3 linked regions of the Struthio camelus genome follow. The protein of the gene in region 3 interacts with the protein of the main gene of each other region in a pairwise test. Links are inferred from orthologs where the notes say so. Each region holds a gene or a part of one and is shown on either strand. Other genes may lie near its edges. The genes, in order: STK4, MYLIP and RASSF5.

What was found.
Region 1: the proteins of RASSF5 (region 3) and STK4 interact in binary tests that used the Homo sapiens proteins (3 or more experiments, as listed by UniProt). The link is inferred for Struthio camelus from reciprocal best matches to the Homo sapiens genes RASSF5 and STK4.
Region 2: the proteins of RASSF5 (region 3) and MYLIP interact in binary tests that used the Homo sapiens proteins (3 or more experiments, as listed by UniProt). The two-hybrid records come from large-scale screens. The link is inferred for Struthio camelus from reciprocal best matches to the Homo sapiens genes RASSF5 and MYLIP.

What each region holds. Positions count from the first base shown.
Region 1 is NC_090959.1:7,813,742-7,817,483, reverse strand, and holds the start of STK4 (serine/threonine-protein kinase 4), read left to right. Parts: upstream 1-1,476; 5' UTR 1,477-1,576; coding exon 1,577-1,608; intron 1,609-3,742. Other genes in the region: TOMM34 (mitochondrial import receptor subunit TOM34), read right to left, coding at 1,059-1,170, 1,251-1,371. UniProt on the Homo sapiens protein: Stress-activated, pro-apoptotic kinase which, following caspase-cleavage, enters the nucleus and induces chromatin condensation followed by internucleosomal DNA fragmentation.
Region 2 is NC_090943.1:99,291,168-99,294,909, reverse strand, and holds the start of MYLIP (E3 ubiquitin-protein ligase MYLIP), read right to left. Parts: upstream 2,444-3,742; 5' UTR 2,237-2,443; coding exon 2,150-2,236; intron 1,008-2,149; coding exon 817-1,007; intron 1-816. UniProt on the Homo sapiens protein: E3 ubiquitin-protein ligase that mediates ubiquitination and subsequent proteasomal degradation of myosin regulatory light chain (MRLC), LDLR, VLDLR and LRP8. Activity depends on E2 enzymes of the UBE2D family.
Region 3 is NC_090965.1:7,801,115-7,804,856, reverse strand, and holds the start of RASSF5 (ras association domain-containing protein 5), read right to left. Parts: upstream 2,761-3,742; 5' UTR 2,078-2,760; coding exon of another isoform or gene 2,044-2,077; 5' UTR 1,725-2,043; coding exon 1,583-1,724; intron 1,407-1,582; coding exon 1,288-1,406; intron 1-1,287. UniProt on the Homo sapiens protein: Potential tumor suppressor. Seems to be involved in lymphocyte adhesion by linking RAP1A activation upon T-cell receptor or chemokine stimulation to integrin activation.

The sequences.
Region 1 (3,742 bases), on a different chromosome or scaffold from region 3:
AGCTGTTCCAAGTTCTGCTGTCCTTCTCATAACCTATCTCAGGCCTGGTATTCTCTGAAGAGCAAGTCATACAGTTAATTATACAGTGCCATTTTCTAATGCGAGTTCCTTGTTATAGATCTGTTTTGGAAAGAGTCATTGGAAACAACAGGCAACCTGAGCCACCTGGTGCTACTCCCATGAAACTCCAAGCCAGGTCTGGCACTTGGCTGCACTCACCAAGTCACTCCAGATTTACAGCAGAGGTGCTGCAGACACAATCAGCCCCTGCTCACTTGTGCTACCAGGACGAAAACAGAGAGACCAATGAATACTAAAGCTACCTATGAGAAGAGGGTCCGTTGACGCCTCTCAATGGGGAACATATCTTTTCCTATCCTTTCTTGCTCAAGGGCTAGCAAGTCCCGAGGACTGCTCCGATCAACAGCAGAAAGCCAGGACACGGCCACATGGCCACTGCTACTTGCGGAGGGTGAGCGAGGGGAGGACAGATGGGGCAGCCCCGCCACCTGCTCCGCTCCCCCTAGCCCCTGGCCCTGGCCTTACTTGGGGTAGGGGTAAGGGAGGAGAACGCAGTCAGGCCCTGGGCAGCAGGGCCCCCCTAACCCCTCCAGCTTCCCTCTCTGCCCCATTGCAGCCCCCAAGGCCTCACCGCCCCCCAGGGCCTCCTCAACCCCCCCCCCAGCCTCCCCTCAGTACCCCCTGAAGGCCTCCCCGATCCCCCCTGCCTCACTGCCCTCCCCTCAGCACCCCCCAGGGCCTCTTCAACCCCCTCCTCAGCCTGCCCTCAGCACCCCCCCAGGGCCTCCCTGAACCCCCAGCCTGCCCTCAGCGCCCCCCCCCAGGGCCCCCCCGACCCACCCCCTCAGCCTGCCCTCAGCACCCCCCAGGGCCTCTTCAACCCCCCCCCCAGCCTGCCCTCAGCACCCCCACCAGGGCCTCCCCGCCCCCCCCAGCCTCCGCTCCTGCCCCCGTGAAGGCCTCCCGACCCCCCGCCTCACTGCCCTCCCCTCAGCGCCCCCACCAGGGCCTCCCCGACCCCCGCCGCCGCCGCCTACCGGGAGCAGTCGCTCACGCAGAGCCCGCAGGCGCCGTCCTTGAGGTGGCAGGCGGCGCGGTTGGCGAGCAGCACGCTCCTCTCCGCGGCGGCGGCGGCGGAGGCGGCCTCCCCTGCGGGCGGCACACAAGCGGGAGGGGGCTGCGGCGCGGCGGCCCCCTGCCCGCCATCCCCACCCCGGGACGCGCGGTACCTGCGGCCTCCAGCAGCGCCAGGGCCCGGCTGTAGAGGGCGGCGGCCGGCCCGTACTGCCCGCGGCGGAACTCCTCGTTGCCGGCGCGGCGCAGCTTGCTCACGCCGCCCGCCGCTTCCATGGCGCCGCCCGCCCCCGCCGCTCCGCGCAGGCGCCGCCCGCCTCGGGGGCGGGGCCTCCGCACAGCCCCGCCCCGCGCAGCCGGCGGGCCGGGGCGGGGCCGGGCGGGGCCGGAGCGCCGGGCGCGCCCCTCCGGCTTCCGGCGGAAGCGGCGCGGCCGGTCTGTCATGGAGCGCTGAGCGCCCGCGCCGCCGGCCCGCCGCGCTATGGAGACGGTGCAGCTGCGCAACCCGCGCCGGTGAGCGCGCCGCGGTGGCCGGGCGGGGTTCGCCCCGCCTCTGCGTGGCGCTGGGCGGGCGGCGGCCCTGTGGCGCCGTGGCGGGGGGGGAGCGGCGGGAGCCCGGCGGGCCCTTCCCGTGACGGGAGGCGGCCGGGCTGGCTGCCGCAGCTCCCCTTCCTCTCGCCTTTCCTCCCGCGGGGGTTGGCGCCCGTCGGCGGCCGCGGCGGAGCGTGGGGCCGTCAGGCGCGGCGAGCGGCGGAAGCTGCCGGCTCTGCCCTTCGCCGCCGCGGGCAGCCGCCGTTTCGCCGTCGAGCAGCGACGGGGCCGCGCGGGCCGGGTCGGACGCGCGGCCCCGTTGCGTTAGGCCTGGGCCAACGCTGGAGTGCTTCGCGGCGCTTCGGGCGCGCGTGGCTCGGTGCTGTCGCCGTGCCCGTGGCGTCACCCGACGCGGGTAACGGCGGAGAGCGCCCGATAACGCGGGGCGAGCCCCGAGCGGGCCCGCGCCAGGCAGGCTCGAGGCGCGTTGGTGCCGAGTGGCAGTAAGATGTTACGTCGGCTCTTCGGGCCCGGTGAGCGGGTTTGGACCTGTGAAAACTCTAGCCGGCGTTACACGATCGGCGTTTCGCCTTCTTACTTTTTCTTTTTTGGTGGCCCAGGCCTCGTTTTAACCTCGGCACAAAGCATCTGCCAACTGCAGCACCGTTTCTTGGTCTCTTTGGAAATGGCGGCTACTGTGGTTGCTTCTTTATTATTTATATATCTTTATTATATATGCTTTTTCCCTTTTCTCCTCTTCCCACCCCTTCCTCCCCCCCTGTTTTCTTAAGGACAAGTAGCATTTTGGTGGTTAATGCTTATCTGTGCAGAGAAGCTGGTGACTACTTTCAATATTTCGCCACTTCCTGAGTCTGCTTCTTTATAATGTTTCCTTCACTTCAGGAAGCCATTGTATGTACTCCGTGCGCGTACTGCTCCTCCTATATGGCTTTTGTGCATAAACATAATAGCCAGGGATCAGTGAGTGGTTTCTCAATTTACTTTTGAAGATATGGGGAAAAAATTGCATACTTAGTGTCAGAACTGCGATGCCTCTGTTTGAGGCCGTGATGTTTAACAGTAGCAGTAGAAACTTTCATTAGTTCTGTGTCGTGGCAGGCAACCATGAATTAACGTTGCTTGAATGTAAGACTAAGAACATCTGGGAAATGGTTCTTAGTTTGTCTTCTGCAAACTTGTGTGAGCTGGTTTGAGGTTTTCTTTTTTGGGCTTTTTTTCCTTTGGTCTTTCATATAAAAGTGCTATAGCACTTGTTTGTGGACTGTTGGATAGTTAGTAAAATGGTTTGTTTTGGGAACTTTTTGTCTCCCCCTGCCCCCTTCTCCCCCTCCCCCTTTTTTTTTTTATATGGTCCTTAGCTGTTGTATGAGGTTTCTTGATCAGCAGCTCAAAGTATGGTCAAGGTGAACTGAAAAGAAAGGAATGGGTTTGCTTGTTGCTTTGTATATGGAATTTTTCTGAAAGGTGTGTGGGATGTGTTAAGTGAAGGATCACAGGGCATGTTTGTACAACTGCATGTTTTTTTTCCTGGGAAGTATTTCAGCTGACTCTTCTTAGCAATAAATCTAAAAAGAGGGATGGAATGAGCAATGTAAAGATTCTAAAAGAGTCAGAACCCAGTTCCCCCCTCCTGCATATTCTTTTCCTCGTATATGCCCAGGCCCACAAAGCCAAGATCTGGATTTCTGATGTTAAGAGTGTACAAGTAAGATTAGTATTGTCTCTTTCCTCTCAACAAAAGTGTCCCTTACATACAAGGGAGGGATCTCCCTACAAGGTGTCAGAGAAGATCACGTGTCCCCTTTGCATGGCCTTGGTACATATACTGCTATACGAGATTTTGAGCTTTAGCGGGTATGTTCAATAACTAAGAAACATTGCAGTGCTACTGTAGATTTGACCACCAACATATAGGTCCTGAGATATATTCTGATATCTTAAAGAACTGACTCTTTGTTTCCGCCAAGATCTGTGTGCCTGATTAAACTTTGTTGTCTGTAATTTCCAGTCCTCTTTTTCTATTAGGTAATAATATTGTTTGGTCGTCTGATCAGGTGAAATAAACTTGCTTCATGTTAAGCCTTGCGTACACTTA
Region 2 (3,742 bases), on a different chromosome or scaffold from region 3:
TGATTCTGGAAATACCAAATTAAGGTGAACAGTGGAAATGTGATATGGTATTATGCTCTATCCACTAGATACAGTTTATCCCACTTATATTAACTGTATTACCTAAAATTAGCTGGTGAGAAATGAGTTGAAAGGTCTTTATTTAACATATAAGCATTCAGCATTCTTTAAAGAGAAACTAATTGTGATCCATGTAGCAATCAAACTCACACAGTAAAAACAAATGCTTGCTATTAATCTTAGAAGGCTAATTGTTAAAATTGGATAACAGTGTTAACAATTTAGGTAGGAGGACTGGCCACAGAAGAAGCAAAACAGCTGTTTCTGTTGTAGCCTCAAACAGCCTATAGCTGTTTGAAAGTTACTGTAATATGATACTAAAAGGACAAAAAGGAATTCAGCAAGTTTACGCAGTGTGGGAGGAATTGTTTCCTGCCTTTCTGTACCAACGGTTTAAAACGACCCACAGTAACACCACTGCACAGGGGTTACTATCGGACATGCAAATACCATATAAGTAACTTGTTACTGGTAGCTTAGTTTCTCCCACTTGCAGCACTAAGTTTTCATGGAACTCCACTCTCACCACCCGCTGTTAGCTACACAATACTTACAATACTACAGATTTTATTCATTTTTCAAAAAAAGCAGTACTTCTCTTCAACACTCGGGTCTTAAAACAACTACTCAGAAAAGTCAACTTAAGATTATCAGAAGACACAAGAAATAGAACTAATGTGCAATTGCTTTTGTAAGTTACAGAAAAAGAAAAACAAAAGGATAAATTAGCTTTTCTTATAATCACCTTTAGCTTACCTTGTCTGTTCTTGTAAGATAAGATGTGGCTCTACAAAGAACTTGACCCGTAATTTCAATCTGTAAGGGGCTAAACCATCCATCTGCTGGGAGATCCTATTCCTCAAATTGAGCCACAGACTTTCCCCTTTGCTGCCAGTGAATTGCAGTCCAAAATAATCAACTTCTATAATTCCCAATCTTCGGCAAACCTGAAAGAAAGATGTTCTATATAATGAATCTATAACATGACTAGACCAAAAATATCTGAATCCAATACTGTTTCAGACTGCTCACATACTTAAACAGATAATTCCTGCTGTAAGCACCTTCATACAAAAGATTATGTAATGACTCTGATTTAAAATAAGCTATGTTCGAAACAGGATGTAAAAATACTGAACTGAGAATTTCTCTACTGGTTGAAAACCACATGAATTTCCAGGTGTGGTCGGGGTCTTCCCTCCCTCCCCCCACCCACTTAAGAGGATCAGTAGATTTCCAGAAGAGAAGACTATCTAATTCAACAGCACAGCAAATAGCACTTTCTAGGGAAGAAGGCGAAAAACATATATCCCACAAGTTTTATTTAGATGCCACCAACAGACTGGGCAGCTATGTTTGGCTGTCTCTTGCGTCCCACAGCAGCAGCCACTGCCACGTCGGGAAGAAGGCGACCAAGCAGCAGAGACACCTGGGCGACAGCCCCAGCTACCAGGGCTCCAACTAGGCTACACGGACTGATATTTAGCAGGGGGCTCAACACCGCCCGGGCGATGTCATCCCGACCAGGTGGGTCCCACTCGTCCCCTCTCCCCCAGGACAGGTAGAACGGGCTTCCACACTGCAGCAATGAGGCCGAGGCCTTCCCTCCTCCCCCTTTTCCACACGCCCTGCGAAGGAGGAGGCAGAAGGGCAATCACCGGCCCGGGAAGCCCCGAGGCGGGGGATACAGCCACCTCTGCATCCAACATGAAAAGGGGGGAGGGGAAACAGGGAGACTGCAGCGGCAGCTCCGGCTGCCTCCCCACCCCCATCCCGACGGACGCCCCTGCGCAGGGTTACATTGCCTCCCTCACGCCATCACCGCCCTTAACGCCTGCGAGCTGACAAGCTCGCGTGCTCCCCCCCCCTCCCCAAAACCCTCCCCGGCTCGCGGGGGACGATGCGCGCCTCCCCCCCCCCGGGCCTCGTGCGGTTCTGTCAGGCACCAACGGTCTGCGGCGCCCAACGGCCACTCGCTCACTCCTCCCCCCCCCCCCCCCAGCTCGCGCCCCTGGCAGGCAGCGAGGGAGAAAGACGGCGGCAACGGCGGGGAGCGAAGAGCGCAGGGCAGGGCGGCGCGGCCCCTCACCTGGTTGAGGCAGTCCTCGCCGTTGGCTTTCGCCTCTACCTCCACCTCCATCACCACCGCGTCCGGCCTGGTCACATAGCACAGCATGGCTGGGGCCAGCCAGCGCCGCCGCTCCCACGGACACCCGGAGCGACTGCGGCCAACTGCCACCGGCTGGCAAGCGCAGCTGCCGCTACAGGGCTGAGGTACGCACGCGTCCCCCGGCCGCCCACACCGCCCGCCCACCGCCCGCCGCCAGCGCAGCGCAGCGCAGCCCAACGCCGCACCTCCCCACCCTCTCCCCACTCCCCTAGTGCCTGAGCTCCGGCGGCCGCGCTCCCGGCCTATATAGGTTCCGTCTGCCCCTCCCCCCCGCCGAGCGGCACCTGTGGGCCAATCCGAAGGCGTCGCTCATCTCTGCGGGCCATCGCTCCCACCAATCAGAACCGCGGTCACTTGTAAAAGGGCCGCAGCCGAGGGGAGAGGGTGGGGGTGCGGCCGTTGCTCCCCGGCGCCCCCTGCCGGCCGGCCGCGCCACTCGGCGCTGCGGCTCCGCGCTCAGCGGCGGTCCCCGCGCGGGGGTCGCGGCGACGCTGGCCGTGTGGCGGCCGCTCTGCGCCACCAGCCTGCCTTCTCCCACCCCTTCCTTCTCCCCCACCCCCCCCCACCGCCGGTTACCTGCGTCCCCCATCCTCTGCGCAACCCGGAACTTGTTACTCGGGTGTTGCCTCGGGATAAATCACTCCCAAGCCCCGTTCTGCCGGGGGAAGGTGGGGACCAAACCCGCGGGCAAGGTCATCTCTCGGGGCAGGTCATCGTGAGCTGCGGGAAGGTGAAATGTTTGAATGCCTCATTTCTCGAGGTCGCAAAAGCTCTTTTTTTTTTTTTTTTTTTTGGAGGCAAAAATAACGCTTGGTTAATGGTCTTGCTCCTCTTTGGCCTTTTGCTGTGCAGTGTGCAAAGCTCTGGAAATGTGTCAATTTTAGGAACCGGCCACATCATATAGCAGCCTCCATGTACTTTCATGCTAGAGGATGATGGAGCTTTTAGCCACTTAACTCGCTAGGTGTGAGGCATGTAGGTGCCTTCCAGCTGGAGGAAGGGCACCAGCACCCTAGCAGTCCTTAAAAGTATTTGTTTGACAAATACTTTTGTCAAGTAACAAGTTGAGGCACAAGGTGCATCAACTAAAATAGCCCATCACTGCTCTAACAATATAAATTGGTCTGATGGAGGATTAAATACAAACGCACCTACGCTAGGTAGGTTCCCCAAAAGAAGTGCGGTGGAAGGAGAAGGGAGCGATGTAGAGTGAGGAGGGGCAGGCAGGCTGCCAGAGGAAGAAGCAGGAGAGGAAAACGAGGACCTGAAAGTATCTTGGAGGGTAACAGGAAAAAGTACCACCCACAGCACCGGTGTGATGTCACCGCGGGACTGAGCATTAGCTTGCCCCCACATCTATGAATCATTTGCTTCTATTTGGGTATTTCGGCTGCACTTGTCAGGGTGATTAGTATCTTTTATTTATATTAAAGAACCTTTCAGAACAGGGGGCCGTTCTCCTCAGTACTTTGCAAAAGCAGTATATGGCTGGTCTGGTAAGGGCAGATAGAT
Region 3 (3,742 bases):
CCCCAAAGAGGAGCACAGAAGCACGGTTCTCTCCTTAAATCCGCTTCGGGAAAGTCTCTCTCCGTTGCCCAGGGACAACTCCAGGCTGCCGCAGACCGGCTTCTGGCCCAAGTCTTAACTCTTCACCAGAGTCCACCTTGGTTTTAAACAGTACGAAGGGGCAAAAGCTGCTGGAAAAAAATCTCAGCCAGGTATCTAGCAACGTTCTACCAAAAAGCAGCGTTAAGCCAACATCTGAAACTCCATTTACTTTGGGTAAATGAATTTTCCGCGCAGATCAGACGCGGGCTTCCCATCTGCCCTGGGACTAGTCGCTTACTGACGATTTTGGGGCCAGGAGGAAGCAGCGTGGTGACCCTCGTCTCGCCTCCCCCATTTCCCACGCACCAGGTCACGGCCCGGCACGGCCTCCCTGCTCCCCCCAGTGACGCCCCGCGGGAAAACACCGGCTTTTCTGCCGCGCGGGGCGGGAAACCTCCCTCGCCGGCCGCGGCGAAGCCCCGGGGCTCCCCCAGCGCAGCCCGCGCCCCGGCCCGCTGCCGGCCCCGCTCCTCCGCTTGCGACCTTTATTTATTTAATATATATATATTTTTTATGTATTAATTTCAGGCACCCGCTGAAACGGCTGCACCTCGCTGCGGGTCATCGGTCCGGCAGCAGCAGAGGACGCAAGCAAAAGCCAACAAGCCTGATCCTCTCCCCTCCCGTGCAAATCGGCTCCCACGCGGCCGGGTTTTTAAGCGATGGTTTAACCTTCCGGCATAGAAGTAACTCGCATCTCGACTTCTGTGGCACCAAGTAATCGTACTGATGCGCCCTGTGGCACGCACCGCAGCCTTCTCCTTGACGCTGCCTTCAGGCCGCTGTGGCTGCTACAGACCCCGCGGGACCCTCTGCGCCATTAAACAGCTGAAGACTTCCGGAGCGGACGCGGGGATTACTGCACATCCCCGATGCAGACTGCAGCGTCTAGATCCCCCCGGGCTGCTGAACCCCTCAAGGCTACGAAGCCAGCAAAGCCCACGCTTGCATCCCGCCGAGACGCAGGAGGCGTCCGCCTCGGCCTCTCCTGCTGCGGCGGGGAGGACCTGGGCTAACCCCTTCGGGAGGGAGGGAGGCACCAGGTCTCCAAAACAGAGGCCGCTTACCATCAGCAGGCTGTTCCCAAGAGGCCCCGCATCTCCGATCCGCGACGAAACGTCGTCACGCTCCAACCTCCCGCGCGCGCCCGGCTCTGCCGGCGGCGGCGGCCCCGGGAAGCGCCGCGCTCCCGACCCCCGGCCCTACCTGGCTGCAGCTCAGCATCAGGGTGCTGTCGGGCGAGAGCTGGCCCAGGGGCTGTCCCGGCCGGCGGCAGTCCAGCTGGACGAGGCTCCGGCATTCCTGGTGGCAGGTGTAGCTGCAGTCTGGGCAGGAGGAAACACAGCAGTGAGGCGCCGGCACGAGCAACGCGGCGGCGCGGGGCCAAGCGAGAAGCAGCCCCGTTCGCCCCGGACCGAGGGCCGCGGTCGGGTTATGCGTCCGCGACCGCGAGCGAAGCACGCGGACCCGTTTTGGCAGAGAGGGAAGAGCTGCAGAGCACCTGACCCAGAACAAAAATTGCTTCCGCACCCGCCGCGGAGGAAACCTTTACGCGTTGCTGCAGGGCCGCGGTTTGCACCTCGCACCCCGCCGCCCTTTCCCCTGGTCTGCTGGCAGATTAATATACAAAATAACCAAAACATTCAATTTTAGTGAGCTAGCTTGGGCAGCGGAGGAAAGCAGTCAGCGAGTGCAAACACTTTGAGGGCCGGCTGCCTTAGGGAAATGACGGCTCCACCACGGGGTCCTGCCGAAACGCCCCCGGAGAAGCCACGGACCCGTCCCGGGGCGGCAGGCGGCACCCGACCACCTCCGAGCGCGCGCGCGCTGCCCGGGTGGAATCGGGCATTTGATTTCTTTGGCCGCCGACCCGTTCTGCTGTAAGACATTAACTAGCGCGAGGTAGAAATTACACGGAAAACTTCACAAAGCCCCGGGTTAACCTTTTAAGGCGTGCGGTACCGCTTTCCGACGACGGCGGCTGCACGACCAGCATTGTCAGAAACAGCTGTTCCACTTATTTATTGCCCTATTGCTCCCCAGCCCTTTCCCTCGAAGACCCGACTTTTCCAGACCCTCTTGGCTGCAGCTAACCACCTCCTTCTGCTTTAATGACCTTACTGATCCTTTTAATTTTTAACTGCCGTATAAACAGAGTTCAATTTACTTTTACACGACCCAAAATTCCAGAGCAGTCACTGAACTGGGGGAGGGGAAAAAAAAAAGAAAACCTAAATCCCAGGCAAAGGAGTTCACGGCACAGTCAGAGACGGGATTTTGGATCTCCGGAGCACAGGAAGGTTTCAGCACTGCTCACACTGCTCTTCCCACCTCCACGGTTTGGTGAGCTCTGCACCCTGACCCAAGGCCCACGATCACTAAAAGTGGCCTTTTTTCTGGGTCATTGCTTGCAAACGTCTTGGGTTTGCAGGGAAGCAGAGGAGCATCCCCAGTTTGCTCTGGAAACGGTGATTCCCGCTCGGCAGTGCTGAGCGCCCGGGAACCAGAGGAGCTGAACCACGGCTGGGAGCCGGTGCCGGAGCGGGGAGGCACCAGCCTGCAGGGGAAACAGGGAAATCACTTATCTGACATTCATCCAGCACGAGCTGCCTACCGTTTCCTTATTCCAAGCCAGTTTGCTGGCGTAAGCCTGGGGGGAAAGCAGGGAGGGCTTTTTTTTTAATTAGACATAAGCGGAACAGTTACACAGTAATTTTAATGCATGACCTTTCGTGCAAGTGGAAGAGCCCTGTAATAGGGGACGACGGGCAAGTCTTTGCTGGAGGCACCAATCGGAGGATGCTTCAGTCGCACCTGAGCACTCGGCGGCAGCGCAGAATTGCAGCCCCGGGACGACGGAGCGGCAGCAGCATCCTGGCTGGGGGCGAGCGGCTGAAATGCTCCCTGGCACGGAAAACGGGAGGATAGAAAATGGTCCCCCGGGTCCCGGCCTAGGGATTTGGGTTCGCCCTCAGCATCCGGCTGGGCTCCCTGCCGCAGGGCCACGGCCCCAGCCCAAAAAAATGCCGGTAAAAAGGAAATTCCCAGCCCAGGGTTGCAAAAGCAGCAGGCTCCGGCAGACAGGAACGTCGCTGGAGCTTCATATAGACCACAGCAATTACGGCACACAGTTGCAGCGCGTCCCCGGATCAGGCCCATTATGGCCAGGCATTTCTTTACAGGATTAAAGTATGACACCTCCTTAGTCACTGCCACCTATTAGCAGACCTAATCACCCGGTATCTGGCAGGGAACACTAATTTTAGAAACTAAACACGGCTTTAGGATGTGGCCACGTGACGGGCTTGCCGAGAGCTGCTGCAGCAGGATGCCTCCACTTGCGCTTTGAGATAGTTTCCATTCAAGCCCAAGTGACACTTGGAAATACAATTGCTTTAAAAAAATAAAAATCGAGTCAGATCCCGACGCAGCAACAAATTTCAGGGACCGAAAGAAATTCCCCCCTAGCCATAGCTGAAGTTGGCCGGGGTGGGAACGACGCAGGGGGGGCCCAGGGAGCAGCCACATGGCCCGGGGCGAGCCAAACCCGAGCCATCAGCTGCGGCTTTCACCCCAGGAAAGACCTGCCGCCCCTGCAACGCAGCATGGAAGACGAGATAAGATCGCCCCCAAATTTGGGCCAAAAGGGCCCAAGGTCTCC